4 linked regions of the Struthio camelus genome follow. The protein of the gene in region 4 purifies or fractionates together with the protein of the main gene of each other region. This does not show direct contact. Links are inferred from orthologs where the notes say so. Each region holds a gene or a part of one and is shown on either strand. Other genes may lie near its edges. The genes, in order: EPC2, MRGBP, H2AZ1 and RUVBL1.

What was found.
Region 1: the proteins of RUVBL1 (region 4) and EPC2 purify together in Homo sapiens (co-immunoprecipitation; 3 studies listed by BioGRID and IntAct, counting the BioPlex papers as one, with this or other methods). This does not show direct contact. The link is inferred for Struthio camelus from reciprocal best matches to the Homo sapiens genes RUVBL1 and EPC2.
Region 2: the proteins of RUVBL1 (region 4) and MRGBP purify together in Homo sapiens (co-immunoprecipitation; 6 studies listed by BioGRID and IntAct, counting the BioPlex papers as one, with this or other methods). This does not show direct contact. The link is inferred for Struthio camelus from reciprocal best matches to the Homo sapiens genes RUVBL1 and MRGBP.
Region 3: the proteins of RUVBL1 (region 4) and H2AZ1 purify together in Homo sapiens (affinity purification with mass spectrometry; 6 studies listed by BioGRID and IntAct, with this or other methods). This does not show direct contact. The link is inferred for Struthio camelus from reciprocal best matches to the Homo sapiens genes RUVBL1 and H2AZ1.

The regions. Positions count from the first base shown.
Region 1 is NC_090947.1:43,602,513-43,610,454, forward strand, and holds the start of EPC2 (enhancer of polycomb homolog 2), read left to right. Parts: upstream 1-4,926; 5' UTR 4,927-5,186; coding exon 5,187-5,339; intron 5,340-7,942. UniProt on the Homo sapiens protein: May play a role in transcription or DNA repair.
Region 2 is NC_090959.1:16,133,722-16,141,529, forward strand, and holds the start of MRGBP (MRG/MORF4L-binding protein), read left to right. Parts: upstream 1-4,788; coding exon 4,789-5,020; intron 5,021-5,557; coding exon of another isoform or gene 5,558-5,569; coding exon 5,570-5,691; intron 5,692-6,219; coding exon 6,220-6,301; intron 6,302-7,808.
Region 3 is NC_090945.1:27,839,262-27,846,155, reverse strand, and holds H2AZ1 (histone H2A.Z), read right to left. Parts: upstream 3,011-6,894; 5' UTR 2,710-3,010; coding exon 2,707-2,709; intron 2,551-2,706; coding exon of another isoform or gene 2,470-2,550; exon of another isoform or gene 2,246-2,469; intron 2,232-2,245; coding exon 2,154-2,231; intron 1,701-2,153; coding exon 1,587-1,700; intron 1,118-1,586; coding exon 988-1,117; intron 841-987; coding exon 779-840; 3' UTR 441-778; downstream 1-440. UniProt on the Homo sapiens protein: Variant histone H2A which replaces conventional H2A in a subset of nucleosomes. Nucleosomes wrap and compact DNA into chromatin, limiting DNA accessibility to the cellular machineries which require DNA as a template.
Region 4 is NC_090955.1:7,417,568-7,424,760, forward strand, and holds the start of RUVBL1 (ruvB-like 1), read left to right. Parts: upstream 1-4,180; 5' UTR 4,181-4,281; coding exon 4,282-4,422; intron 4,423-5,130; coding exon 5,131-5,217; intron 5,218-5,842; coding exon 5,843-5,975; intron 5,976-7,193. UniProt on the Homo sapiens protein: Possesses single-stranded DNA-stimulated ATPase and ATP-dependent DNA helicase (3' to 5') activity; hexamerization is thought to be critical for ATP hydrolysis and adjacent subunits in the ring-like structure contribute to the ATPase activity.

The sequences.
Region 1 (7,942 bases), on a different chromosome or scaffold from region 4:
TGGCTGCTTTTAGGCTCTCTTCTAGTGAAGCTCTGCTTAACTGTGAGATCAAAAATCTCTTATAATGAGGCTGCTGCTTCTGCTACCAAGACAGGAACCCTGAATACACAATAGTTGTGTCAATGACATCGGAAACATTTGCCTTCTGAGCACTGACTCATCATCATTACTTTCACAATCTTATCTTCAAACCTTCATGCAGTATGTATTTGGCGTGTTGCAGAGGACTAACACTCAAAGATAATTCTCTTATACGCTTGGTATCTAGATGATTACTTCTGGGCATTTACAAGTCAAGTCATTAGCATCCTAAAATTCTAGTTAACTTTTAATACTATACAATTAATTAAAGTTTCAAACACCCTACAAGACTGAACTGTACTATGCTTTTTCAGAGGCCATAAACCACTTCTGGAATCTGTACTTCTATACTGTCCGTGCAGTTTTTTATACTTCTTTCCACCTTGTACTTACAAGGAAACAGCACATATAAAACAAAGAACTACTAAATGTTCATGATACGTCATACTGCAATAAAGTACACTGAGAATTCTTAACGTAATTATCCATAAACAGTTCTTCTGCTTCGTGTAAGATCAGTGAACTGTAAATTACTAGCAAGAAAAAGAGAAAAAAAACTGCAGAAAGACCTCCACATATGATCCAGCCTTTAACCAACTACAGTGTGGCCAAGCATTCCTTGTGTTAAAAGTCGTTATAGAGAAACAGAAACAACAAGCAAGGATGTGCTGTGCTTGAGCTAATAAAGCACCATAGCCTGTATCTAAGGTATGATACATACCTTATATTCTAAAAGGGTGATACATACTTTTCCTACCATCTTATAACTGTATCCTAGAAGTTCTATGACATTATATATCATTGTCTATTACATTGTTAACTGGATACTTATAATAAAACGGATATCTTTTTTTCACAGAGACCAACAGTCTGGGAAGTCTGAAAAATAATCATGGCTAGAGCAAATATTACTATACTTGCTGGGAGCCAAACCATCAGTTCTTGGGTTTCTTTTTCATCCTGACTAACAGATTTCCATAGATTTCCACAGATATATGTGTGCAAATTAAATCTGGCTATTTCTGGTCCATCCAGCATACAAGTGTGTATATTTAATTGCATTATTTTACATAGAAAACATGAAGACAATTCAGGATTCAACTACTGAACAAATTATGTTGTTTGCGACATTGATTCCTTGATTTGTGCATCAAAAGTAAGCTATTTATCTCTAGGTCAAATGCAGCTGGCAATTATTTCTACAGCTAAAATTCTTCAGAAAATCGGTAATATTTTGCAAGGTGAAGAGATAAGAGTATGTACTAAAAAGATGTATGGTTCTGGCTTAAAGCTAAGCTACATAGTATTAATATAAGTTGAAGCTTTAGTTTTACTCATGTTCAGCTATGTGCAATGGCTTTTTTCACTATATAAAAAAAGCTCAGTATACCACAGGGCATCTTTTAAAAAAAACTTGCATTGTGCATAAAAATAAAATAATGGGACCAACAGCCACCTTGAGGGTAAATATGCTGCATCTTTTTCTGTTTTGATTTAAGCAGCGAAGAACGAACAAAACATGCACACAAAGGGGGTAAGGTTATTAGTATCTATGGTTCAATTGTGCTAACTGAAAAAGCAAAAAAAAAAAAAATCTTATGGCAGTGTATAAAATGCCTCTTTCTTGCTGGATGGGAAGCAGAAAGAGGAAAATCCTTCTTGTCAGTTAACTACTTGAGGAAGTACCTCAGAAGGAACTGCCTGTCCCATGCAGCTAGCCTAACCTTTCCAAGTGCGTGTTATTTGTACAGCAGGGCTGCAACTATGTAACTGACAACTAAGGAATCTATATAATGGGTGTTTTTACAGAAAATTCATGAACCATGAACTGAAAATGCATTTTATTTACTGACACCGGAGTTCATGCCCCTCATATACTTTGTCAACTACTCTATCCTTATTTTAATTTCTACTTTCTCGGGCTCAGGTGGTGGGACTACATTGCTATACAGATCAGCGAGGATGAACAGGATGCACAGTTTCCCCCCTCAGAAAGAGCCTGTAAGTTGAATTTGACTGAAGATCTGAATATTGGTCTTTCGGTGCTACATGGTAAGACTGAAAATCCAAAGCTCATGCAGAAGCACATTGCAATTGCTCTCTGAAAAATGGCAGCCCTCAGCTACTACCAAGCAACTGTTAATCTGGGGATATCAAATCAATTTTGGGTGGTGGAAATTTGGCTGCTTCTCAAATGGTGCTTAACTAAAATATAAATTCGAAACTGTAAATTACACAACTTCAAGTGTTTGTGCAAACAGAAACATTGTCAGAAGGCACTGTCAAAAATTAATCAAATCTCTACTGCAGAAGGAAGTTCAGAACCTGAATCTCTGTGGAGTAATTCCCATAACAGAATTGCTCCTGATTCGCAGTAATGGAAGATTCAGAGGTGCTGCTGTAGATCTCCTTGCCTGGCTTAAATACAAGTTCCGCATGTTTTCTACTGTTAGCACATGGCATTAACTCTTGAAACATGCTCCAAATTTTCAGCTGATGAAGAGTGAAGCCGTCCACCTCCTACACAGGTTTGGCAGCTATAAGCACATAAGATTGGTACTTAGCTCTCTGAACTGGTTTATGATATGCTTCTGCATGAAGGGTGTTAATTATAATCCAAATCAAGAATTGTCTCTTTATGAGTAAAAATATTTAAAGGAAATTATAAATAAGGGCAGTGTATCAGTATTGTTCTTTGTTCCTTTTCTCATAATCTTTGATGCTTCACTTGTTCATATGACTATTATTGAACATTAATCTGATGCTTTCATAGAAGTAGCTAACATAATTTCCAGATCTCTTTCCCAAGCTAATGCAGTTCTATGGGTTATGTAGGTAAAGTTATTGTCATTTCTTTTTCCTCTTGTGCATTATTGCACTTGATCCATCATCTCCTCTATTTCTCTCTCTAGTTGATGCAATTCTTTATTCTTCATTTTGTAAATGTTGTGTTTATCATGAACAGGAGTTGCATTTAAACTATATAATTACCAAATGCATCAGGTAACTAATAACAAACTCTAAATCACTCTGCAAAATTCAGTGACTGAACTTACTTAGTCAACGTTTTTTAAAATAAAAAAAATGGAATGTTATTCTCGGTTGGCATGTACTCCAAAGGGAAACATGCTCAAGTTTTATTTGACTAACAGTTCAAGCTAGTTCCAGAGACAGAAGATTGTACTGACAACTCCTCTAAGAGCTATAAGGAAGAGATGAGGAAAAGCAGCTGACCTGATCGCAAGGTGTCAGGATAATATGCAAGTGATGAGTATTTGAAGTACTAAAGACCTTTTACAAAGGGCTTTGCAGATTAAAGTCACTACACTGAATAGATGTGGGAAGCTCTGAAATGGTAGAAGTCTGTAGCCTTGTTCACACGGGCAGCTCAGGTTTATTCCTTCCATGTTGAAAGTACTCTTCGGTAAGCTGGGTGCCTTGTTCCTGTTTAGCTTAGTGTACTTTGCAAGTGGGCTAAACCAAATAGGAACAGGGCACTTTTATAGCAGAAGCATGCCAGCGCATACAACACACAGCTATCCTTAAGTAACTCCAGACGTTGACAAAACTTTAGTACAAAATTTCATACGTGAGAAATTTTGTACCAGGATTCTGCAGTATACGGACCTTCTGCCCCTCTTCAAGGCTAAGTCCATGTAAAGAGCAATACAGGAAATCGCTCCTGAAGGAAAAAAAAATCCTGGGCAGGCATGAGCTTATTTCTGCACTGTTAGTTTGTGACATAACTGAAGTCTGTGGCCTTTACCCTATCTTGTTTTGCACAGCACACATTTCTAACTGAAGCAATGCTTAAACAGTGAGCAATGCTGCCTTACAGGGATGTGTTGAAGTCCAAAAGGTAGCGAGGGAGCTGTGAACACAGCGAGGACCGTGTGATTCTGCGGAGCTGAAGCGCTGCTGCACAGCATGAACGCTGTCTCTCACAGGAGGCTGATCGTCCCTCACACAACGCTAATCTGAGGGAGGGCGGTTACGTGCCACCAAGTTAACTTATGTCAACCTAAGTGAATTCTCTTCACCACTGAAGATGTTTTTATTGCTAAAATCTGTTGTAATCCCAAAATAACCGATGAGCCCGCGTAATCCCACATAAAAATACAAAGAAGGATAAAGACGTTAAGTTTCACCGCCAGCAAAACTTGCTACGGCTGCACTCTTGACAGGTGTCACAGAGCTGCTGCTGGGGAGCCACAATCTGCCTGAGGAGGCTGAAGCACCTGAGATCATCTCTGAGAACAAGGAAATTTCGTCCCAGTGAGGAGCAGCCGGGAATATACTTCGAACGTACTACGGGAGTAGGGGAGTGCACGGTGCGTCTTACGCCTTCTCGGTGTCAGGCCGTTTCCAGAGGGAAAATTTCCGGCCGATCGTTTCGGGAATAAAACACCCGAGGTGTCAGCCTGGATAAGGCGTGAGAGTTACCTGGCCGAGGGGACGAGCTCGGGTCCTGCGTGCCACCTCCGGCTCTCGGGCTGGAGCCCTGCGGCGGGAGGCGAGCGCAAGCTGCGCGGTTTAACGGCCCCAACGGTCGGCGCGCGCGGCCACAGCGCCGCGCAGCGCCCACCCGCCTCTAGTGACGCACTCTACCCCGCCGCCCGAGCCGGGGGACGGCGGGTCCCCTCTCCCGGCTCGGCGGGATCGGCGCCGCTACCGTCCCAGCCCGCCTCAACCGCCCTCCCCTCACAGCAGCAGCAGCAGTAGCAGTAGCAGCAGCAGCAGCAGCGCCGCCGCCGCCGCCGCCGCCGCCCGCCTCAGGCTGCGCGCGCACCGCGCCTCCCCCCCCACCCCCCCTCCCGCCCGTTCCGAGCTCTCGCGTTGGCTGTCGGGATCGCTGGCCGCTTTGGTTAATGTCCGCCATGTTTGCCATGGCGCAGGGAGCGGATCGAGCGAGCCCGGCGCGGATCTAGGGCTGCGGGGCGTGCGCTGTGAGCTACGGGCGGCCCCGCGGAGAGCTGTTCCGGGGCGGCGGGACCCTCCATGGTGTTGCGGGCCGGGTGCGGGAGCGGCTGGGAGGCGGCGGCGCGGCCGCAGTGAGGGGCCCCCCCGCCCGCCCGGCCCCGGGGTGTTATTGTGAGGGGGAGACAATGAGCAAACTCTCCTTCCGAGCCCGGGCGCTAGACGCCGCCAAACCGCTGCCCATCTACCGCGGCAAGGACATGCCCGACCTCAACGACTGCGTCTCCATCAACCGGGCTGTGCCGCAGATGCCCACGGGCATGGAGAAAGAGGAGGAATCGGTAAGGGAGCCGCGCAGGGGGGGCACCATTGTTTATCAGACACCCCCCCTCCCCTCACGGGAAATAGGCCATTGGCATTCACCAAGCGCACTACGCACGCTCCCCGCCGCGGCGCTGCACGGCTCTTATGGGGCCCTGCGCAAAGAGCGCAGCGTAAACTGCTGTCCGACGCCGTAAGCGGGCCCTGCTCCGCCATCTTCTTTGCGTCCCGACTCGCGAGTGTTTTGATTAGTGGGGGGGGGGAGGCGGGGGGGGGCAGGCCTTTACGTTAGCGTAAGAAGGAGGAAGGCGCAAGAGGCGTCTCTGAATGAGCGGGCGAGCGTTGGGGCCGCCGCTGGCGTAGCGCGCCTTGGCTGCCGCCGCTCGCCTTGTGCGCGCGGCGGGAGCGGGCCGGGCCGGGCAGGGGGGGCCCCGCGAGGGGAGCGCGGCCGCGGCGGTGCGGCTGCTGCTGCTGCCGCCGCGGCCCCCGGGCGGAGCGCCGAGGGACGGGACGGGGCGCCGGGACAGGGCAGCGGCGTGCCGAGCCGGCAGGCCGCCCGCCGCGTTAAAGCACGCTGGTTGTGGCAGATGCGCTGCTAATAAATTCTTGGTAGTTTTTGGGAGAAAGCTTTTATAAGAACGCTTTTTGTTCGTACTTGGGCGGGGGAAGCGTTTCGTGCTGCAGAGTGTACGCCAGCTGTCAGGCACGGCAGCTGGATGTGTTGCATTAAGCATTATGCTTTTAAGCATTTAGATTTTTGGTTTTTTTTTTTAACTAAGCAAGTTTTAAAAATACGTACGCGATACTTGTTCTCCTTTCCCTAGTACGATAGAGAGAAAGAAGTTTTGTCCCCTTAAGGCAAAGATAAGTTTCTCGGGGTTTTCAAAGCATTGGTGCAGCACTTTGGAAGTGTATGCCCACAGCTCTGTTGCTTGTGTGTGCTGTTTTGTGTTACTGATGCTTAAACATCGACTCCTATGCTCCTTCGAGTTGTGTCTAGCTTAGACTTAGGTTGTTGCCCTCATGTGTCTGCACTTGCATGTTGAGCTGATAGTAAAGGCACCCTCAAGAGTTTCTTCAATGAATCCCTGTCTCCGCCTCAGCCAAACCTCTGTGCGTGTGGATTGGCTTTTCAGAGGTTACAGCTGTCAGAGGAAGCTTCGTGCCTTTCCGATTGGCTTTCTCACTTGACTATTGATATTAGAAGTCGTCCTTCTCTCTCTTACCGTTGGTTTCTTCTGCTGCTTACTTCACCGTATTGCAGTCTGTAATGCACTGTGATCAAAACTTCCAAAGAGTAAATCTGCCCCAGACTCTGAGAGCGTATTTGAAATGAGCAGCGATGTGATACTAATGCAGCAATCTTGGAGGGTAATATGGTTTTCTTAGATTTCAATAAAGTCTGCCTTGTAGTCCTCTGTTTGCATTTGATGTTTATTAAGTGTGGCTTATTTTAAAAAATGTTTTCTTGCTAACTCATATTTTAAATTTGTTAGTGGAAAAATTTCTCTAAGAGTTCAAGCAAGGTGCTTGTGGGCTGCTTAAATGACTGTGAAGAGGATTAGATTTATACTTTAATAAAACTGCTCTAGTGTTATACTAAAATGTTTCTTTCTGTATGTTTTTTTCCTGCACTGAAATGTGGCTGTACTTGATATATTATGCCATAATCTCAGAATGACATGGTCATTGATGCAGTATACAAGCTTAATGCTAAATACATCAGCCAAACAATATTATTAACAGATTGTTTATATTATTGCCATGTAATGACAGTTTCACTTAGGGTATAGGCCTTTCCCTGGGTTGCACAAATAATTTTTTGATGTAGATTTTTGTGTTAGTAGCACGTAAAGCACCTCTGGGAAAGGCTGCTGTTGTAGATGACAGTAGTTAAATATTCGAGGGCTTCACTTTAAACAGCTTTTATCATAGTAAGCGTTACTCAGATGTGATTTGGTCTATTTTGAGAGGGACTTTTGGAGGAGGGGTATATACGCATACTCCTTTCTGACATCTCAGTTACTTAGGTGTCTCAGGACCTTTTTAAACTCAGACTTCTGCCAGGGATACATCCTGTGAAAGGTGGCTGAACCATTAGGATAGCTCATGATTTGAACTTGCTGTACACAGACACAAAGCTCATGTTACTGTGGCCCCAGTATACTTCCATCCTTGGTGTGCTGCTATATCTGTAAAGCCTCAGTGAAAACAGAAGGATCTTGCAGTACAGTGGATCATGGGGTTAAGTGTTGTCTTCCAGATCTGATTTTTAACTGGAAATAATTATATATATTTACAGATTTCTCAAGTTTTAAAATAGCTAAGGTTGCTCTGTTTGTCTTGCCTGCTGTTCTTTACAACCTAGTCTTGCTGGTACAGGCATATGAACTGCTTTGTTCGTGATTAATATTTTATATATACAGAAATGCAGATTTTAGTCCATTTGTTTTTAGTGTGATTTATTTTTGGTGATAAAGTTTTTATTTAAGTAGTAGTATTGTGTTTGGAACGTGGATAGGGTTAAAGTTCAGGGAATTCTAATCATTGTCACCTGCTTCTTGTATTAATACTAAGGTTATTTGTATTAAAATGTCATAAATCACTGCTTTTGCAGAAGCAC
Region 2 (7,808 bases), on a different chromosome or scaffold from region 4:
TGAACGGTATTGCTGATGTATCTTCACTGCAAGCCAAATTTCAAACTAAGCTGTAGTTACCATAGCTTTCTGTAACCACAGCACTACCGTTTGCCAATGCATCGGGTCCATCCTAGGAAGCAATCTTACCAAGATGTTGTACCCTAATGAAGCTGCAGGGTATTTGTGAATACATCCAGACATTCAAAGTAGAAATGGAAAAGAGGGCCCTAACATACTCTCCCAAATCACCAACTTGCATATTTCATCAAGGTTTGCATGTGCCTGAAGGTGCTTTGTGAAAATCTGCTGCCACCCTCCACCACAGTGGAAGGCGGAGTGGAAAGGGCTGTTGTCATTTAATTATCAGCTAGTCAGGTTTAGTGCTTGTCTGTTGTCCTTCTGGAGTCTCTTTATGTTTATGTAGTTTCTTTTTTATTTTTAGGAGTAGTATTTTTGTTTTGAAAGATGAATAAAAAATAAAGTCTCAGAGAAAAAATGATCTGGAGAATCCTGATCACAACACTGAAATTAGCAAAGAAGAGAATCTCGGTAGATTTGTGTTGACCAGCTGGGATAGTGCGGCTTGAATTTGGTATGCAGTTTGGGTGCAATCAATAAAAATCACCTTCAATGAACCATGCCATTAAGTCTTCTGGTGCTGATTCAGGATAACCAGACAGTAATGAACAAATTCTTGTGCTCTCCTGGTTCATCCGAAATTTACTGACTCTTCTGGATGCTTCTTTGCAAGCCTGGGACAAGATGGATTTATTAAACCGAAAAATCAGTAATATGTTTTCTCCTTTCCCACTCCCCACTCTGCACTGGGGTATTTTGAAAGCTTAACAGTAGCAGTAATAAACGCCTCTGTGCGTCCTTAGAGATGATTATTTGCACTGTTTTCAGCCTATTTTTCTAAGGCTTGCCATCTGATGCCCATCTAATATCTAGCCTCTCTCTGCTGGGAGAATGAGCACAACAGATCACAAGGGAAAAGTTCAGTTCAAGAACATATGTTTCAGCAAATAGAAGGTATCCTCTGTCTGACAGCTGCTTCCCTATTCTTTGCTCTGTGTGTGTGTCTGTTTTCTTACTTTGAATTAAATGCCATATTTTTGCCCCCAAAAGAAGTCATGGAGGCCTACTCTGAAGGAGAACTCCCTGTTCAGTGTTCCTATTTGACACAATGAAATACACTCGTTTGCTAAGAACTTGGGTGACTGCAGGAAAGCTGGAGAATATCTCCCAGCTGCCAGAAGAGGCAGTGCTGTGCTAAAGGGCAGGATCATAGGACACAGATGAGATTAGAAGTCCTCTTTTCAGAAGGAATTGAGAAAGGAGCTCATTTTTGGAAATGCTGAAATACGTCACGGCACTGAGATCACTTCCCTTGTACGAGTGTTTACTGAACGGAGAGTAATTTGGTGCAGGATTGGGCCCAGAATTCATGAAAAAGGTGCATGTACTTGTGCGTGTAAAAACTAGGTATAGGCATAGTATAGTAACTAATTACCCAGCCTGTTACTAAGAAAAAGCAGCTGCGGCTAGTGACACACATCCAGCATTAGGTGGCAGTGACTTCCAAGCACATGCCTCTGCTCTGGTACTGAGCCCTGTCCAAGGTCTCGAGCAAACTGTTTGATAGTTCTGTTTCTCAGCTTCGGTAAAATAAAGCTGGTAATGCTGTCTAGGGGTCCCGTGAGGTTCCATTTACCTACATCCGAAAAAATCTTTGGGATTCTGTACTGAAGATGTTCTAAAAACGTCTAGTAAAAGCTACGTAGCTGGGTTTAATGCAAAAGGATGTAGATGACCTCCTTTTTATAAATGCTCATGTGGCGTACCGAAAATTATCCAGTGTTCAGAAAGAAGTTTTTATTTCATTAAGGGCACTAACACATGGTGTTCTAAAATAATGACAGAAATAGTTGTAGCCATATTGCTTATCCCAGAAATCCAATGTTTCTAGAGAGAATGCCAAATGCTAGGCATATTTCTCAGTTGTTCTGACTGCGATGTCTTATGAAATATGAGATCATATCTCCCGAGGGCCATAGCATAATCTAGCAAAGGGCTGAGCACCTTTTGTTGCTGTAATAGTCAGCCAGATTTCTATGGTTAAGAAGGATCTAAAATGTAAGAAAAAAAGGATAAGAACTGAACTGTGCATGTCCTACATTGTTGGTATCTGCTTAAAATCAAAAGTAAAGTTTAAGATTGAACAAAGGAAGGAGGGAAAAATTGTTACGATCTGAAAAATCTGTTCAACAAGGGGGAAAAAAAAAACTTTTATGAAAATCAAAAATAGAAAAATTTAAATTCTGGTCCCAAGCCATGTCGTGGCTGCACATGACTTTATGATAGACTTGCATATATGTTTTCTAGAGGCACTGAAAGAAACAAGAAAATTTAGACACAAGGAAATGTAATTATTTGCCATTGAAATAGAATAGCAATCAGTTTATGCATATACTCTTCCTGCTGAATTAACATTATTCTACTGAATTAAATTATTTTCACATGCTATTGTACTTTCAGAGGTAGCCATATGTTTTTCACATTTCGTTTCACATGCTACTTTTTTAATCATCAGAATTTAATGACATAAAAATTGCTATCTGAGTTGACACAATTACTCCCTCTTGATGATAGTCTTTAAGTAGAAACACAATTTGACAGATGAGAGCGCTGAAGCTCAGTGTTTCACTCAGACTTAAAATAATCTCTTCCTGCAAAACTTTGAAAATTAGTCTATGAAGGAACAATTTGTCTGCTCTGTAATTTATTTGCTTTTCTTCTTTCTTCTTCTTTTTTTATGCCTAGAAACATTTGTATGAAAACAGGAATTTAGTTGTTCAGGAACTCATTTACTCCTGCTGTGCAGTCATCACAGGAAATCATAACCTTCTCTTTTGATAGCAAATTAGGACTAGGTAGCAACATAGATCAAATAAACATTAGAAGATTAAACAGATCTAAGAGCCATATTAGATTTAGTACTTTATTAGATTTAGAGGGCTGCATTTAACTGGTAAAGTATGCACAGTTGATTTCAAACTCAGCAAAATCTTGTTAATCAAGTATTTTTGGCTTCAAAGGAGGAAAGTATTGTGAAGTCTGAGCTGTTTAACGGCAGGTTCATCACAGCCAGAACATACATACAGAGATGAGAGCAGATAGAAAAAGTATTTCTGGAGTTTCCTACAGTCTTGAGTGGGAAAAAGCCATTCTTGCAAGAGCTCTGTCAGTCCGGACAGAGCTCTCACAAAAACAGTTATTCCTGCAAAATTTCAACAGCATGTAAACCAGACTGGGGTGAGAGATTCCTTTCCATTTTGAGACACCAGCTGGAACCCGGATGGAAATAAGAATTTGTCTTCAGGAATTCGTATCCAAGACTCTTATCGTCAAAGGTGCCAAGACTTCAGATGTGAAGTTTTGGATTAAACCCATTTCACATATTCGCTTAATGTTAGATTAATCTGTTTTAGGTTTAAGCATTACATCAGGCCCCAAAGAATGATATGAGTTAGTTAATTCTTTAGGTATCAAAGGTACAGAAAATTTTCCATTTCAGAAAATTTCTGTTTTCCCTTCCAACTTTTTATTATTAGGATACTTTGCACGAAAACAACGTCTCTTTGCTTGTGAGCTTCTTCCCCCACTGTTTTATTATTCACTCGGAATAGTCATTCTTTACATATGATGTCATTGCTATGTGCTATTGAAGTTACTTTAATGTCACAAAAAGGATTAAGATTTCAAGTGATGAGTGAGCAATAGGAAAACCTGATCACCTAAGCAACAGAAGTCCTGTTTCATGCTTGTGTGTCTAATAATACCTAACAAGGCAAAAAAAGAAGAAAAAAAAACATATCACAGAGGGAAAGATATATACTCTTTTTTCCTAAATGAAGTATTTTTTCAATGCCTTAAAAGACTAGCAAAGCTAGTGGGTTCCACATTTTAAAGCATTTAAGGCGTAATTATTTGTTAAGCATCAACGACGGGTTCCAATAAAATGATCCTGTTGTCACAATGATTAGCAGTTTGGGGGCTTGGTGCATCATTTGGGATCTTTCCTTAGTGTAATCCCGCGTTTCGGGCGGACAATGGGAACGGGGGTGAGCGCTGGGGTGGCCGAGGCTATGGCGACAGGGGGGTTCGGTGTCAGGTCTGCCGCCAGCTCTGTCTCTAATCTTCTTGTTCCACCTTCCCCCTCTTCGTTTATCTCAAACAGCAGCTCTTCGGGTCACTTAACGCTGAAAAGCCTCTACTGTATCTCTGGTTCCTCTGCGTTTTACGCCAGCGTCAGTATTACTGCTCTAGGGTTCTGCCAAAACGTCGGCAGAACAGGGCCGGAAAGGCCGTTTGGGGCGTCCACCCTGCCCTGCCCCACGGCCGACACAGGAAACCCTAAAGCTTCTTTCTCGCTTGGTGAAAATCTTTTTGGGGACGTGAGGCGGCCTAGCCCGTCCCTCGGGGCAGAGCCTCCGCTGGCCGCCAAGCGGTGCCGCTGGGGGCACGGGCGGCAAACTCCCCTCGAAACCCGCCCCTGCTCCACGAAAGCGCCTAAAAGGGGTATTTTCCCCTCAGCCCAGAACCACCCCAGGCCGCCTCATGCCGCATCGCCTCAGGAGCGGGGCGCCGCGCGCCAACCGCCAACCGCCCTTCGCGCGCGCCAACCGCCCGCCCCTCGCGCGCCGCGGCCCGGCCGGCAGGAGCCGCTGCGGCGGCGGCGGCGGCGGCGGGGCGCGGGGCGGCCGCCAGGGGGCGGCGCGGCGCTGCGCGCGCGGCGGCGCGGCCATGGGCGAGGCGGAGGGCGGCTCGGCGGGCGCTGTGGAGAAGCCGCCGCTGCCGGCGGCGGGGCCCGGGGCCGCGGCGGCGGTCGCGGCCGCCGCCGCCGCCGTTGCGGCTGCCGCCGCGGCCGCTGCCGCCGCTCCGGAGCCTGGCGTGCCGGCGGAGGAGGCGGTGGTGGTGTGGAGCCCCGAAGTGGAGGTTTGCCTCTTCCACGCCATGCTGGGCCACAAGCCCGTAGGTGAGAGCAGGCCGCGGCCGAGCCGCGGGCTCGAGTAGCGGCGCTGGCCGGGGAGGAGAGCCGGGCGCCGGGCGCGGAGCGGCGAGGGCCGGGCGGGGGGCGTGTGAAGCCCCCCCCCCCCCCCGGGGCTGGCGGCCGCCGCCGCGCTGCGGTGCTGCCCCTAGCGGCCTCGCGGGCCCGGGCCGCTCCCGAGCGAGCGGCGGCGCTGCGGGGACGGAGGCGCCGGCCCCTCCCGGGCTCGGAGCCAGCCGTCCTCGCTGCCCAGCTCCCTCGCCTCCCGTCTTGCTTATTTTCACTTATTTCCCTTTTATTTTCACACTGGCAGCTCTGGCTGCGGCCCCGTGTGAAAGTACCAAGCGGGGCACCCGCTGCCCACCTCCAGAGCAGCGCCTGTAAGGCAGAATGAAATACTAGGCTGCCCGGCTTGTCGTGCGTCTCCCTGCCGTGCTGTATGATTCCCCTCATTGTTGTAATAATGATTTTTTTTTTTTTAATTTTCTGGCACAAGTAATAACTGTCAGTGTTAACTTCTCTGAGTTCTTGCCCCAGGTGTGAATCGCCACTTCCACATGATCTGTATCCGAGATAAATTCAGTCAGAATATTGGACGGCAGATTTCCTCTAAAGTGATTTGGGACCATCTGAGCACCATGTATGATATGCAAGCTCTTGTGAGTATAAAGTGATGCAGGAGTGCTCTTATTTCCTGTAGTTCAGGAGTTTTGATAGGACAAAATCACTCGGCCTCTCGTGGTACCAAGAACTAGGTATCATGTGGTAAGTTGATGAGGATTTCCCTGTATGAAGGTACATTAGGTGGGAGATAAGGGAACCTGCAGTGTTTTTGTTTTTTCCACACTCGGTGCTGACTTTGTGTGATTTTTGGTTGCCTGAATGCTGATTCGGCAAACATTTACGTAGATACTTAACTCTAAGTGCCAAATAGGGAGGATATAGCGTGCATAAGTAAGAATTTGCCAAGATCAGGTCCCAGGAGTACCTCGTCATGATTGCATATGTCTTGATGTTATTATCTGGTTTGACGTACGGAGCCTCCTGATTCTCCAGGGTCTGAAGTATTTTGTTAAGAATTATTTAGCTACTAATTGCATATAAAGTAGAATTTGGAATTGCATTTCTAAATCCAAACTAAATGTTTTATCAAGATCACTCATAGAAAGCTTTGTTTTCTTCCTAAGCACGAATCTGAGATTCTCCCGTTCCCCAACATAGAGAAGAATTTTGTTCTTCCTGATGAAATGATTCAAGAAGTGAGAGAAGGTAAGAAGTCATAGCAACCTTTTATTCCTGGCTGACCTTAATCTCAGTTCAGAACAAGTAGCTTAACAGAACTCCAAAAAAAGAAAATAATAACATGGCAATCCAAGGCTGTTCTTGGCCGTTCACCAATGGTGGTGTGTTGGAGGCATCAAGGAAAAGAAGTGTTAAATAGATACGACTTTATCTCATGAATTTTTAATTTGCTGACAGGGAAAGGATCACACTGCTTGTGCTGTTCATATTGTCAGTATCAGCCTCTGTGACTGCACAGTCAGAGACCTGCTAGTGGGCTATGCAAGCCTTTGGTCTTATTCCACACAGTATTTCTCATATTATTAAGTTTAGTATGGATTGGACGTTACTAATGGACAAACAGGTTCCATTTTTACCATTTAGATGCAAATTCTCGTTTTAGGTATACGTGAAAGATCCGCATGCTTCACTGATGCCTGTATGCAGAATGAGAGGCAAAGTGCGGTTGTAGTGTAAAATGAATAGTAGGTTATTGTGGGTGTTTTTTCACTTTGTTGCGACTACTCTAGTATCATGTCTGACCGTAATTTTTGCTGAAATAGGTGATCTGCAGACTTTTATATGGTTCACATTGTAAGATCTTTCAGGAGCAGGATCTATGGAACTGATGAAAATAAGATTTCTGAATATAATTTGTATAAATTTCCTGTATACAATTAGTATATAATAACATTTCTGTGATAACAATTTTCTGTACATGTAATGAAATAAGGCAGTTAAGTAGCAATTCAGCTAATGTTTAAAAGTATGCTCCAGGAATATTCTCTTACTGAACATCTGCATGTACAATAGCTAGAAAAACTTGCTGCTTGGCCATGGACTTTACCAAGTACTTCTTGTGCTTGTGTAATCATTGCATTGTTAGTGTTAGGGTATTGGCTTTTTTTTTAAATATGGTTCATATAGCTTCCTTTTAAGAGCATTACTATTTTTTTATGTCTGAAAACAGAGATTTTGATTGAAAACAAAAACAATATTAAATGTTCAGAGATATTTGTAAAGATTTAGTGTGGTTTCATTGCACTGTAAAATCACTTCTTCATGTTTTTATATTCTTAGGATTCAGCTACCTGATACTTCCAAAGCTCACTCCCTCCAGATGGGTGTGTCTGTGTTGTCTAATCCAGTAGAACTCTCCACCAGCTTGACAGAAATCTTAGATTAAATAGTGCAAGTCAGATTGTCAAAGCTTAGCTGTATGTCTGTTATTTAGTACTTGTTATCCAAGGTAGGAGCTAGGAAGCTCAAGCATCTGCACCTTTAATCAGGCAGTTATAGGGGCATGTCGAACCACAGTCGAATGCTTCTCAGTCATTAGGTGCAATAAACTTTACACTAATAGTTCAATACAAAATCATAATAAATCTGAGGTACAGCAATATGTTTTGCCTACTTAGCATTTCCTAACTGTTCCTGTTAATAATTCCATTGGAATTTTTTGCTGTGTGGTGTCTGCCATGGTATCTTGTTCAGT
Region 3 (6,894 bases), on a different chromosome or scaffold from region 4:
TCATTGCTTTTACAGACTTGTCCATTGCCCTTCACTAGAAGAAAAGCTATAGAAATATGCAGGCAGAAGTTTATATTTTCAGCCTCCAGTCAAAAAGCTCCCATTCTTCTTCATCCACGATAGCTGGAAGGTTACTAGCAAGTAACACTGTCCCGAAATAGCAGAGCCCTCAGATATACCTTTCTAAAAGGTCATTCTATGCATCAGGCTCAATTATTAAGAATCTGTTTCAACCTCATGAGGTGAAGCATGCACACCATGTCACTCAGAGATGGCTGTATCTACTAAGTGCAGAATTCTAGGACTATGTTTCCATTTGAAAATGGACACCTGCAGTACTTCGCAGCTTGGAGAACTGTCACAACTGTGTGTTCTTGGAACTACTCTTCTTCAGGGCTCCATTATTGAGACCAAGTGTTTTCCAGTAGCACATGAGACAATTAGTATTGATATAACATTTATTGAATATTTCCACTCTAGTGGATGAAAAGTCTGTACAAAACCAAACATTTCCTTTACTTAATCAAACCGATCTAAAAACAGTCAGCTCAATCAAAACCCACTACAAATACAATAGCTTCTTTGAAGCCATGGTAACACTTAAATACGGTTAAGACTTCAATGCAGAAATTTGGTTTGTTAGAAAGCTCGGTGAGCTTTAGCTTCTCAAAGTTACAAAAAGGCAAAATTGTGTTTCACAGATACAGTCCACTGGAATCACCAACACTGGACAATTAAGTACTTAGAGTCCTGAGATAACACAGAATCCTGGTATCCTTTAGACAGTTTTCTGTTGTCCTTTCTTTCCAATGAGAGACTTGTGGATATGTGGTATTACACCTAAGAGAGAACAATACCAAGAATTAAGATCAAGTTATTCCATGTTATCAGATTTGGCTAAACTTTACACTTCAAATAGATTAAACAACCTTTGAGACTACTGGACTCCTTGTCACTTAACACAAAGTTAGAAAGCAAGTTACATACCACCACCAGCAATTGTTGCCTTAATGAGAGAGTCCAATTCTTCATCTCCTCTAATTGCAAGCTGCAAGTGACGGGGAGTGATACGTTTCACCTTCAAGTCTTTGGATGCGTTTCCTGCCAGCTCAAGAACCTGAAGACAAGAACATTTTCAGATTGAGTTAAGCAAGTCACACGAGACCAATTGCATTGCTTTAGCAATTTCCTTCTTTACAACAACTGTATAGTTACCGACAAAAAGATATCAAACAATGCGTCTTTTTTAGCCAGCTCCTCTTTTAGAGCTTTGGATTTAGTTTCCCCCAAGGAAAGAATGATGTTTTGCAGCAGACAGAACATGCTGTAACTGCACATTTTATGAAGTACTTCACCATTTGTGTCTTCAACATAAGCCACAGCTACTTGCTCTGCATAAAATCCAGAGCAAAAATTTCCATACATGCTTTATGGTCTCCTCAAGAAGCATGTACTTCACAAAACAGGCTTAAAGCAAATGAAGAGTTCATAACCCAGTCTGAACTGGCAAAATACAGGAGACTCCAGTCATTACACCATTTCAGCTGGACTGACCAACTTGCTTGTACCCCTTGCAGCAGCTTTACCTCAGCTGTCAAGTACTCCAGGATTGCCGCGCTATACACAGCAGCTGTAGCTCCTACACGCCCATGGCTGGTGGTCCTTGACTTCAGATGCCTGTGGATGCGGCCAACAGGGAACTGAAAGATAAGAGAAGTAGGAGTAGGCTGTCACCATAGAAACAGAAGAAAAACACTATTCTGAAATACTCTGGCTGCAGGGATTCTGTTGTCTAGCATATGCAACTGGTGCTAGTTGAATTCTAGTGCCAGAGATGCTGTGTAGCACAGAAGACTACATTTCAACACCTAGTATACAGTGTCCTTAGCTGGATTCCCCAGACGACATCAGCAACTTCACTTCACAAACCACTAGCAGTAGCAACCGCAAGGCAATTCTCTTCCCCAGCACAGATGTACAGCAAGTCCAGAGCATGCTTGAGCCAAACACTGACATATTTGAGGATCAAACAGATCTTTACACCATTCCAAATAATGGACAGAAGGCACAGCCTGTCCAGATTTCAAAAGGTACCACCTGCAAGCATAAAGCCAACCTGACTTCCATCTGCCCATGCCCCAGTCTCTGCTCACCTGCAAGCCAGCCCTCTGAGAACGGGACACCGCTTTGGTCTTGGTCTTTCCAGAGTCCTTCCCAGCTTTACCACCAGCCTAACAAAGAAGAGATACGTGTAAGAACAGATACGTCCGCGGCAATGCTACATCCCCCGCCTCTCCTCCCCTACCTGTCAGGGACCGCAGCCAAGGTCTCAGTCAGGGACCGCGCAGCGGCGGCATCCTACCCGCGCATGCGCTCCCGGCCCTTCCCTCCCGCAGGGCGGCACGCGCTACGCCAAGGCGCGTGCGCTCTGCCCGCTACACCTAGCGGCACAGGCCGCTCGCCGGGCGCATGCGCCGCAGCCACTCCCTCTCCCCGGCGGCACCAGTGCGCGTGCGACCCTCCGCGCGCCCCTCCCCCGCCTACCGGCAGGTAAAGCGCCTGCCGCTGCTTGCGCGCGCTCACTCGCTCCCTTCCCCCGCGCGTGCTCCCACCTCCTCCCAACTGCCGCCACCGGATCGCCTCGCTCTCTGCCATCGCCGAGGCGGCGCGGCCCCGCGCCCCCCCCTCCCCTGCGCGGCTCCTCACCATCGTGAACGGGACCGTAGCGCCACGCACGGGGACACAGAGGAGAAGAGCGTCCCGCACGCACCGAGCCCAGGCGACAACGCTGACCTGCCCCGACGCGCCGCGATTCAAACTGCGCCCGCTCCCGCCTTCCCCCGGCGCTTTATAACCGCCGAGCGCGCCTGCATCCGGGAACCCCAGCCTCGCCGCCAGCCAATCGCCGCAGGCTGGGGCGGGGCGCCTTCGCACGGCGACAACCAATGGGAGGGGCGGGGGGGGCCGCGCCGACCTCGCTACGACAGAGCTGAGGGGGGCGCTGGCGAGCGGCGCCGTTCCGCAGAGGGCCCGCCCACATTTAAAGGAGCAGGAGCCTACGGCTCGCGCCGCGGCAGGGGGGGGGCCTGTTCCGCCATGCCGGGCTGTGCCGGGGCCCCGCCCGCTCGGGGCGGCCGGCGGTGCCTGCGCCGCGGGGGGTGGGGGGGGCGCGGCCCTCCGCTGGGGGAGGGGGTTCCGAGCCGCCCGCGCGGGGAAACCGCGGGCCTCGGCCCCAACCGCCGCTGCAGCCGGGTAACGGCCGCCCGGCTTTGAACCGTGCGTGTCGTGCCCCCCCCCACCCCCGCCCCCGTTTTCCAGTTACTCGGCGCGGTTAAGACGCCTTCCCCGAGGGAGCTCGGCGGCACGCCCCGGCAGAGCTGTGCTTGATGGCTTTATGCAGCTATTTAAAAGAGAAGCTGAGCGCCTGTCAGGTAATGAGCTGTGTATTAGCCAGCGAGATTCTGAAAAGCCTTTTCAGCATCTTGCGTGCTGCTAGGTGGGAGAGTCATAGCCGTAAAAGCATTGCTTAACCAGTCGCTGTTATTAGGTTTCAAGCTCTCAGGAGCTCAAGTCAGATTAACAAGATATGTGAAGTGTGCTCTGATGTAAAATTGCCATCTGAATGGCACCCACTCAGTTGTCACCTCAGACTGCAGACACCTTCCTTCTCTATCAGGAAGTCAGAGCTGCAGCCTTGCATAATCCGCATGCTCGTGTGTGCGCACAACAAGCCTTCCCCACCCCAAATACAGCAGCACCTGGCTCCCACCTGCCCCCCCCCCCAAAAAAAAAAAAAAAAAAAAAATCAAGACATGAAATCAAGTCCTGAAGGCCTCCCCAGACTTCTGAACAGGAATAAATCAAATTGTTAACCTCCCCCCCACACTTCCCTCATGCAACAGTGTTTCCTATCTCACCTGCTGCTTTTGGCAGCAAAGGCAAGCCAATTGTGTGCAACCCTTAGCAGCACACAGAGCGCTTCTCCTATTCCAGCTGCCATCACCATTATTGCAGCTGCAGGAGATGACAGGGATCAGAGGAGGTTAGGAAATGTGGCATTCATAGTAGAAAGCAGATGAGGTTTAAGGACTTGGTGGGGTTACCTGCATGAGAAGTGTTTGCCAGAACTCATCTAGTTGATATTACTGTAGTGCCTAAACTTATAAATAATTATTGCCATGTCCCATTGGACACCCAAGAGCAGGAAGTCTGACAAGACCCTATAAAGGAAGTACTAAACATCAGTCAAAGACAACCATAGTTCTGTTACAGCTATATGGCAAATGCATGGTGCCGGGCAGCTTCTGCAAGAAGCATAGTCTGTTGAGGTCCTTCAGAGAGAATATAAGTCACATGAAGCTACTTGAAAGTATACTCACTCTCACAATGTATAATTTAAGGTGATGGAAGAGATTGTGCTATTACAGAGCAGCCTACAAATAAGGGGGTCTTTATGCTATACAAAGATACTATTTGATAATCATTCTCAGTCAGTTCTTCGACTGAGAGCCTGAACATGATGTGCTTCACACTTTAATTTATCATGTTGCCAGCTGAAACACTTCAATGAAGTTAATTGACTTAGTGTACAAAGCAGTTTAGAAGCAGACGGAATGAGGTTACATCTCAGACTTGGGATGAGGTGCTATTGCTATATTGGCAAACACATGAGGCCAACCAATGTGGTTTCAGCAGAGATGAAGTCACATCAACTGCTTGTGACACTGGGGGAGGGGAAGTGCCAGCATGTCAAACAACTGTGCACACACGCACTAGTTTTTATTTTTACCTCAGTCTTATGTAAGAGCCACATGATTACCAAGGGCAACCCTGCTTCAGACCCATTCATCTTACTGAATATTTCAAACTGTAGTTAAACCATTCATTCTGAATTCAGTTCTTTCCAAGTATAACTTTAAATTAATGCAGTGCAGATGTCCTTTGCTTGGGCACTTCAAAACCCTGCCAATATTGCCCTGAAATGAAGCCTTAGCCCCATTTTTTTGGCAGGTGCCATTTCCAGTGCAGTATAGTTATTTCTGCTGCAGAAAAAAAGCAGCAGACTGGCCATTTAACCTCAGAAATGATTTGTAGGTTTTGTCTGTTAATTTCTCTTTCAGCTCTAAAAAGCTAACTATTCATGGTGCAATTCCAAAACATGATAGATCTTAGTTTTAGATGATGTCTAATTCACCTGGGAGCATCAAACATGCTCAGGCAGAAGTCCTGGTACTTCAGTGAATGAATAGCTGTTTAGAGCTAAGACTACCTCAGTCTGTCATACACTTTACTAATAAAAATCACCAAATTACCCTTTCAGATGTGAATATGTCTTTCCTTAAACCTCAATATCAAAGAGTCCAAGCAAGAGCAGTACTCTTACAGACTGAAGTTTAACAGGAGATGGAGCTGTTGACATGAACTTTATGTAAGGCTATTCTTCTCCACAACTTTTCTTTCTTCCTATCTATAACAAGCCAAAGATACAGAGTTCTAAGATACATGTCTAACTGCTGATGCCTAGAGCTCGTCCTCAAAGTCTTTTCTGCTATATACTAAAATAGTAAAGATTTAAACTTCATTACCAGGGTACCTATTATTGAATGTCAGCCATGGCAATAAGAGTCTCAAATCAAGTTGACACTTACAACCACTTTATGAGCTTGAGCAATTTTACATCAGCAAAACAGACAGAAGAGCTAATAGTTTAGGTGTCTTTAGTTGCTAACCAGCTACCTACGAGCAGGAGTCCGAGTCCCAGGGAGCATTGTCATTTAGCTGCTCTTTCTTCAGAGCCATGTGTTCAGTGCACTGGCAGAATGGACTCTGCCCGAGTCTTCAAACAGTCCCAGATCATATCATCACTACCCTTTACCTCCAAGTTTCAGTTCAGCCATTTTATGCTAGCTAGTCCCACTTCAGGGTAGAGACCTAATTCTATCTAGCTAGGCACAAGCACAAAGGCAGGATCACATTAAGAGCAGACACTCCTACATTCAGGAATTTGGCGTTTTGTTTTTATATTGCTGTCTGGTGCCTCTATCTATTTGAAGCATTAGTTATTTATATTTTCCTTCAACAAACTCCAAGTTAAGGGTTTTTTTTTTTTTTAATGTTAAAAAAAAAAAATCAAGATTTTTACAGAAGCCTGCAGAAGTTAGGATTTCATTCAACCTACTGTTTAAAAAAATGGGTTCTGTCTGAAGTGCCTAGCAAGGATCAATTCACCCTCTTCCTTAAAGGAAACAGAAGCCCATTTCCAGGCCATAAGACCCTCTGGTAATAGTATACTGGATGCAGTAGGAAAAAATTAATTTTCTTGCTGGTTTCTGTCCACAGAAGTCCTAGGAAACAGAACAAAGAGGACTCCTACCAGATGGAAATAATCCCTACCACAGACATTCCTGGCTTCCCACACAAGTCTCCCTGACAGTTTGCTTCAGCTGCATGCTTTTAGCCACTTAAGGCCTCTTACAGTTCCAGCTTGCACTACAAGGGCAAGACAGCATAAAACTGAAGATGGTGCTTTGCACTGATGTGTTTAAAGCAAGCATAACCCCTCTTAGCATGCATCAAAGATCAGGGTAGGTAGCTACTTAAGCTAATACAAGGATGTATAGATACTGAATAGATCAGGTGAGACATATGTTAGATAGGATCGTATATGAAAGTAGTCTCTAATCACCCTAAACTAGCTAACAAGCTTCTCAACATAACCAGCAATCCCTCCCCCCCCACACTATTTAAAGAGATAAAGTAAAACTAATGCAAGTACTCTAGGATTAGTCCAAAAGCAACTTCAGAGCCACTTATAAACACAGATAACTCCTATTTCAATCCCCTGTATGCAAAGGGAACACTTACCACCTCCATCCTCCTGACACAACCAGGCTC
Region 4 (7,193 bases):
ACGAGCTCAGGTGTCACCCATTTTGCTTGGGCTGCCAGCTTACTAGTGAAACAGAGCAAGAGCTGTTCTTTGCCCAGACAACCAGAGGGATACAGGACAGAATTCATGTGCAAAAAACAGAATTGTTTTTGTTAAGGGTATGTAAGGAAGGAAGACAAATCCATGGGAAAGTCTATTTAATTCCACTGCTCACAAAATCAGTTGCATTTATTTAATAGCCTTATACTCTTAGCAGTGACCTGCAAGAAGGAGGGCTGTAAGGTGGGAACATGCGTTTGTTCTCATTTTTCTCCCTTTAGATACAGGAGAGACTTGTAACTCTCTAGATAAGGCAATTGTCCTTGGGTGGAAGGGAATTTACTTTTAAACAGCTTGCACTTTAATGGAAAAAACATAAGTTTGCTACTGTACCCACAACTTTGTTGGTACCACTCAAAACATACCTCTGTCAAGGAATCTGCAGTCTCTGGATCTGATTTTGCAAAGTATTATCTGAAGGCAGAGCTCTTTGCAAGATCAAGGTCTACACAGTACCTGTAAAATTAATACACTCATGTCACCAATAGCAAGGAGGAGAAGCTTGATAGAGACATGAGCACTTTTATGTGTTCAGACAGCTTCATTCTGTTCACTTAGTTTTAGAATTAGTTACAGATTTAGGAGTTAACAGAGAGCGTTTGTTAAGATTCATCACTCCTCCTTCTTTGATGAAGAGTAGAAAAAGCTTTCAGCTCCTTTTGTGGAGCAGGGAAGGAAATGACACACAGATCTTGATATTACTAAGATGCAGAGAGGAACAAGGCAAAAATTAAAGAATCTCAAGTCCTCTATTTCTCTGCATCTGTCACAAAGCAACGCGTTTATAGCATTTAGCTGTTTTCCTTGTTTTCTCTTCAATGTACCATTCCCCTTCCCAGTTCTTCTCTCTCCTATACTGAATTTCTTCCTTAAAAGTGTTCATTTTAATTGCTAACGTTTTTAAGGACTCAGGGGAGAAAGGGCAGGAAGTCAGACTTTTGGGATAGGGTAAAAATGTAAAGGTCATTCACACACTCACACACACATACTCTCTCTCACTCTAAAAATAATACACTATTTGACAGTTTCAGGATTCAGCATGTCCCATTGAAATTTGAAAGCTTATGTGAAACTAGGCCATGTCCTGTAACCTCAAACATTTAGTCTAGGAAAACAGCTCTCAAGTCTCCAGCTCCCACATCGGGTATCACATGACGTCTGTGCCAAATAAGAGACCTCAAACGGTTTGGCGGGGGGGGGGGGGGGGGGGGCCGGGAAATGTTGGTAAAATGAGTTGATTAAACCTGGGGAATAGTAGTTCAGACTGTTAGCGAAAGGTATTATTTTTCTGGTTAACTGGATAGTGAAATATTAAATTATGCTCAAAGCATCTATAACAGCATATGAGATGGACAGAATGGTCTCACAACCTACTTATGTTCCGTTTGTTGGCATGGACAAAGGAGAAAGATGACTCATGCCTTTCAACAAAATAATTTTACCCTCCCCTGCTCTAATAAGTATGTTAGCTATTCGAGATCACAAAAGTCACATTAGGCCGCAGTTCACTATTTCTCAAGCTGATGCATCATAACTACACATTAGACATCAACTTTAATAGACCATTTAAGCTATTTAAGTTCCACTCTAAGCTTTCCAGTAGTTCCACTTGTACTCTGCTCTTTCTGAGGAATAAACAATTAATCCTGTGTGGTCTAAAGGACTATTGTTTATTTTCCCTCACCTAAAGGTACTCCTTTCTGCCCTTTAACTGCATTTTCAGTATGGTGCTCAAAGAACATATGGAATGAGTAAAATAATCAATACAATAAAATGTGCCAAACCAATCATAGCTTATGGATGAGAGAAAGTCTCTTAAATTGATACCAACTCAGGCAAGTAAGAGGGAGAAACCAGCCTCACTTCTGCCAAACAAACAATTGTTTACTGTTTTTTTTTTTAATTGAAATATCAGCTTTTACTGCAAATGCAAACCCAAACCATTTTCATAACAATCTCTGCAGTCAGTACTAAAATTGTGCCTTCAACACGGCACTAGTTTTATTTACTGAACAGAGGTGGTCACTAGCAGCCTGACTGTTAGGCTCTATTCCAATTCTATTTTGGAAACATTATGTTGTTAGACAAACATTTAACACTTCTGTTTTTCAGTTTCCTCTCATGCTAAATGGCTACACTACTGATCTTTATCAAATACTCTGTAAACTGCATTAGTATTTCTAGAGTTCAAGATTCTTCTGCAGCATATCTGGTCTTTACACAAATGGAATATTTCTCTTCTTCCTCTAAATTATAACGATAGTTAACAGCAATTCTCTGTCCTTGCCCTCTACATTTTTATACTCAGAAATCCATCACAGAGAAACAAGGAAATGTTACCAAGTAAACTCTGGAACACCGTAGTCTCAGAAATGGCCTAACTGCAACTTCAAACAAGATAATGACTTAGACTGAAATCTGTCCATACACTCCATTTGAACTAATGGCTATGTATTTCACCCGCTACCAGCCCTTCTTTTTTAAAAGGAGGGCCATGCGTAGCAGAAGTCTTAGAGAATTTGCTATTTTTTTTTCCTAGAATCAGCAAAAACTTGAACTCTGACCGGACTTACCCACAACACTTGCAGCAGTTCAATGCACTAGAGAAATCAAAGCTGTTTATTTGCTCTTATACAAAAGAGAATTTGCAGTTTAGTATATTAGGCATTTGTATTCTGTGACTGATATAGCCCCAAAAGGATGTAAAGAGCCCAATAGTATACATACTTTTTTAATTACTTAAAGGATAGCTTATATTTATTAGGTTCAAGAGGAATTCTTAGCTAAACAGTCACAGAAGATGATACTCTTACAAACGTGTTGAACTATGCCATATGTGTGCAATTATATTCTAATTGCAATTTAAGCTAGATTATGTAAATATAAATTGATAGAACAAGTTATCAAAAAAAGAAAGCAGCAAATAACTTTTTTTCTTTTTTAAATGAATAACAACTAATGGAGGCCCCTAGACAAAAAGAAGATGACTAAAAGTGTTCACCAGGCTTTTGTAAACTCAAATACAACACCCATCGCCTCTAGAAGCCACTCTCATAGCTCATACTATCACCCAGCTGCTTTGGCAGTTCGCCCTGGCAGGCCACAGAGGAGCTGAACGGGCATTATCCCGTGGCACACCAGACAGCAACCCAGCATCTTATCGCACTCACCCGCTAACCTTGAACACTACAAGCACAGCCGCTGCTTTACAATCAAGTGCACAAACTACAACAAATTCACTGGAAGAGAATCTCCTTTTTTGGGACAGCAATCCCAACATTTACAAACGGGGATGATAAACACTAGTAAATTGCTGGAATAGCAGCTTCCGAGGTCCTGTCTCAGATTTCACAGTCAGACATGTCCATCTCAGGCATTTGAACCCTAAACAGCAGAGGCAGCAGTTACTGCTAGACCACTATCACTTGAGCAGTAGGGTATACAAGTATAAAAGCTGTAGCCTTGCACAGCTAAGGAAACAAGGGTAAACTCTGCAGCTACCTGTTGAGAAAATGAAGTATTTTTCCCTCCACTTCAGGAGATCATAAAGCCCAGAAAGAGGGCATTTTTGGTCTAGGCACAGCACACGCGAGCTGTATGAAAGCCAAGCTAAAACCACAGCTGCTTAAAGAAATGCTTTGGATATGCAGAAAAACATAACTATTTCTCAGTTAGGTGGAGAACCAGAACTCAGCACAAGACTCCCAGCAGACAAACACCGAGCAAGCCCTCCTCGAGGGGGCGGCCCGCTCTCGCAGCTAGGCCTGGCGCTGGCTTCGGGAAGGCCTCGCTCCCCTCGCCCGCCTGCCCCGTGGCCGGCCACAGGACCCTGCAGAGCCCCAGGCTGGTTAAGCGAAGGGGAAGGTGACTGCCGAGCAAAGAAAAGCTGAATTTCCCCTCCAGGCGTCACGGTACCCGCCCAGTCCCTCCACCGGCCCTGCCTGGCCCCGGCCCGGCTCCTCCGCGGTGCCCGCACCCGGCCGGACCCTCCCGAAGCGCCGCGCGCGGAAGCGGGTAGACGGACTCTAAAAGAAAAGCACCCGCCCGGGGTGACAAGCAGGCGCCGCGCCCAATAAGCATCGGGAGCGGCGGGGCGGGGGCCAATGGGGCGGCGGGGCGGGCCGAGGCGGCCGCGCGCCGGGAGCCTTGGTAACGCGCGGGCCGCGTGCGGGGAGTGCGGCGCGGAGCGGAGCGGCCCCCGCCATGAAGATCGAGGAGGTGAAGAGCACCTCGAAGACGCAGCGCATCGCCGCCCACAGCCACGTCAAGGGGCTGGGGCTGGACGAGAGCGGCACGGCCAAGCCGGCGGGCGCCGGGCTCGTGGGACAGGAGAACGCGCGGGAGGTGAGCGGCGGCGCGGCCTGCCCGGCCCGGCCCGGCCCGCTCGGGACGGCGGTCTGTGCGCGCCGGGTGCCCCTCTTCCCCTTCGTCCCGCTCCCTTCGGCGAGCGAGGCTCGACCCGGCCTCCTCCGCTTACTCCGCTGCTGCCTGGGAAGCGGCGCGGGCAGCCCTGGGCTGCTCCTTGTGCCGCTACTCTTGTATCACCCGGCGCCGCGGGCAGGTGACAGCGTCCCGGGTTTTAGGCGTAGAAATTGAGGTATGGAAAGCAGGAAAGCCCGCCTAAAGTCAGCGATTTGGTGCAGCTAGGGACCGGCGCTTCAGTTGCAGTCTGACGGCTGGCCCCGGGCCGGCGCTTTAGCCATTCTGTCTTTCTGAAAGTCACAGAGCCGTTTCTTGCTTCATTCTTAAACCTTAGTGTGTGTGTGTAGTCCTGGGAGGGACCGGGGGATCCTGGGACTGACGGAAGTCTGTGCTTCTACATCTGGGTTTTGTTGCTTGTGACTTTTTTCTCAATCTCTTCAGCAAATAAAATGATTGCAAGAAGTAGGTCTCCCTGATCTTGCTTCACTTTTATATGCTTAAAACTGAAGTCTTCTTTAATTTTAGTGGGTTCTCAAAGCCTAATATCTCTAAGTACTTTAAATAACACTGGAACGAAAGATACTATAGCAATGCGTTTCATAACAGTTTAAATGTTTACTTAATTTATAGGCATGTGGGGTTATAGTGGAATTAATCAAAAGCAAGAAAATGGCTGGAAGAGCTGTGCTGTTGGCAGGACCTCCTGGAACTGGCAAGGTATTATTTTTCTTTTGATATGGAGTAAAGTATCCCCAAATTATTTTAGGTCAATCTGTTGTCAAAACCATTGTAGGGCAGTAGTTGCAGGAGGTTTCCATCTACTGGAGGTTTTTTCATGATTGTATTGCCATGGTTTCTTGCTTTATGTTTTGATTTTTGCCATGGCTTCAACAGTAGCGGTATGCAGTGGTTTGTTCAGGCATCATTAGCGTGAAACTATCTTATATAGATTAACCAAACACATATGTAACGTGCATTCTGAAGAAAAGTCTTAGAAGTTAATTTAGTATTAGAGGCCTTAAAAGTTTTTGCTTTGTTTTGTTTTTCTCTTGTTATTTAACGCTTATTGCCTTTTGTACCAGATGTCAAATTCAAATGCCTGGTATTGTTTCTTTAAAGTGTTGTGCAAGTCCTAGATAAAAGCTACTTTATGTGTGTTGAATTTGTTTGGTGTGGGGTGGTAGTTATATGTGAGAAGTCTGTAAGTCAGACAGAACAGGAGTAGTATTAAAGTGATGGTTTGGATGAAATAGGATATGATGAGTGAAGTTGGTGCTGTGGAGAAAGAATCCTTTGTTCTCATGAAAAATGAAGTGCGTAATTTTTTTCCTTTCTTTTGAAGACTGCTTTAGCTTTAGCTATTGCTCAGGAACTGGGAAGTAAAGTTCCCTTTTGTCCTATGGTTGGAAGTGAGGTCTATTCCACTGAGATCAAGAAAACAGAAGTCCTAATGGAAAACTTCCGGAGGGCAATTGGTAAGTTTCAGAAAAAATAGAAGAATTAAGTATTTATATGATTTGTGACCCTGCTTGAGCAGGGGGGTTGGACTAGATCATCTTCAGAGGTACCTTCCAACTTCAGCCATTCTGTGATTCTGGTTTTGTTTTTGCCCCGTAATCTAAAAAGGAAAAGCTTCTAAGTGGCCTTGGTGGCTGTCAGATCACAGCCTGTTCTTCTTTTCAGTGCTCATCTTAACTGGGTGAACGTCTTCCACCCTTAATGGAGACGGTAGGGTTTTCTGCATATAAGACATAATTTAGTCATCATATCCCACAGTTATTTTGGTTCATTCTTCTTCCCCAGACTCACTTCTCAACTTCCAGATTCATCTCCTGGTTTTGTCTGTGGCTCTCAAAAAAGCTGAAAGAAAAGCTATTTTAGTTTTTTTATGTTAACAGAAATATTGGTAGACGGCAAAGTGCTCTCTCCTTTTTTCTTTAATGATTTCACCGTAGTAAGCAAACAGTCTTAAGCAGGGACTCCCAAATGGCAACGTTCAGCCTAACTTATTATTTCGGATGAGCACAAAGTGAGTTCCATGCCAGCGAAATAAATGCCTTAACCTAATATCTTCCTCAGCTCTAGAGGAAGACACAAGGCTTTTACAAGCTTGATATAGGTTGGTTAAATTTGCAACACAGCCCACTGAGTATCTACAATCTTTTATATGATTGCTGCTGACAGCTGATAAATGCAGTTAGAAGTGGACCTTGTTTATGAGGATTGCCTAAAGATAGCCTAGTTGACTTTAGTACTGAACGTATTAACAGTTAATTTTCTTGGCTTCTGTATCATTATTCCCCTCAGACTTCATCTAAGTATTTCATAGCAGTAAGGTGAAGAAATCTCTCAGTGGTGCAACCAAACAAAACTATTCCGTTGACTTTCATAAGAAAGCAATTTTCAGTAATCTCTGGTCTTCTAGTCACCATAAATCTGGCAGGGCTTGGGGGAGGGAAGCCAGACTCTAAGTAGTCTGCAGTGTTTCCTTGATGTGATGAAGTTCCCTGTCAGAGATTTTGAAACTTGAACCAACAGATGAAACTTATGCCATCTGTGTTGTCATTTCTAGAGATAGCAGTATTTTAAATCTGTCTAGTTAACAGCCAGCTACATTGTTAGTTCCCTGCATTCCCTGAATGTCAGTAGAGAGAAAATTCTAAACAAATATTGGTGTTAATGAAAGATCCAAC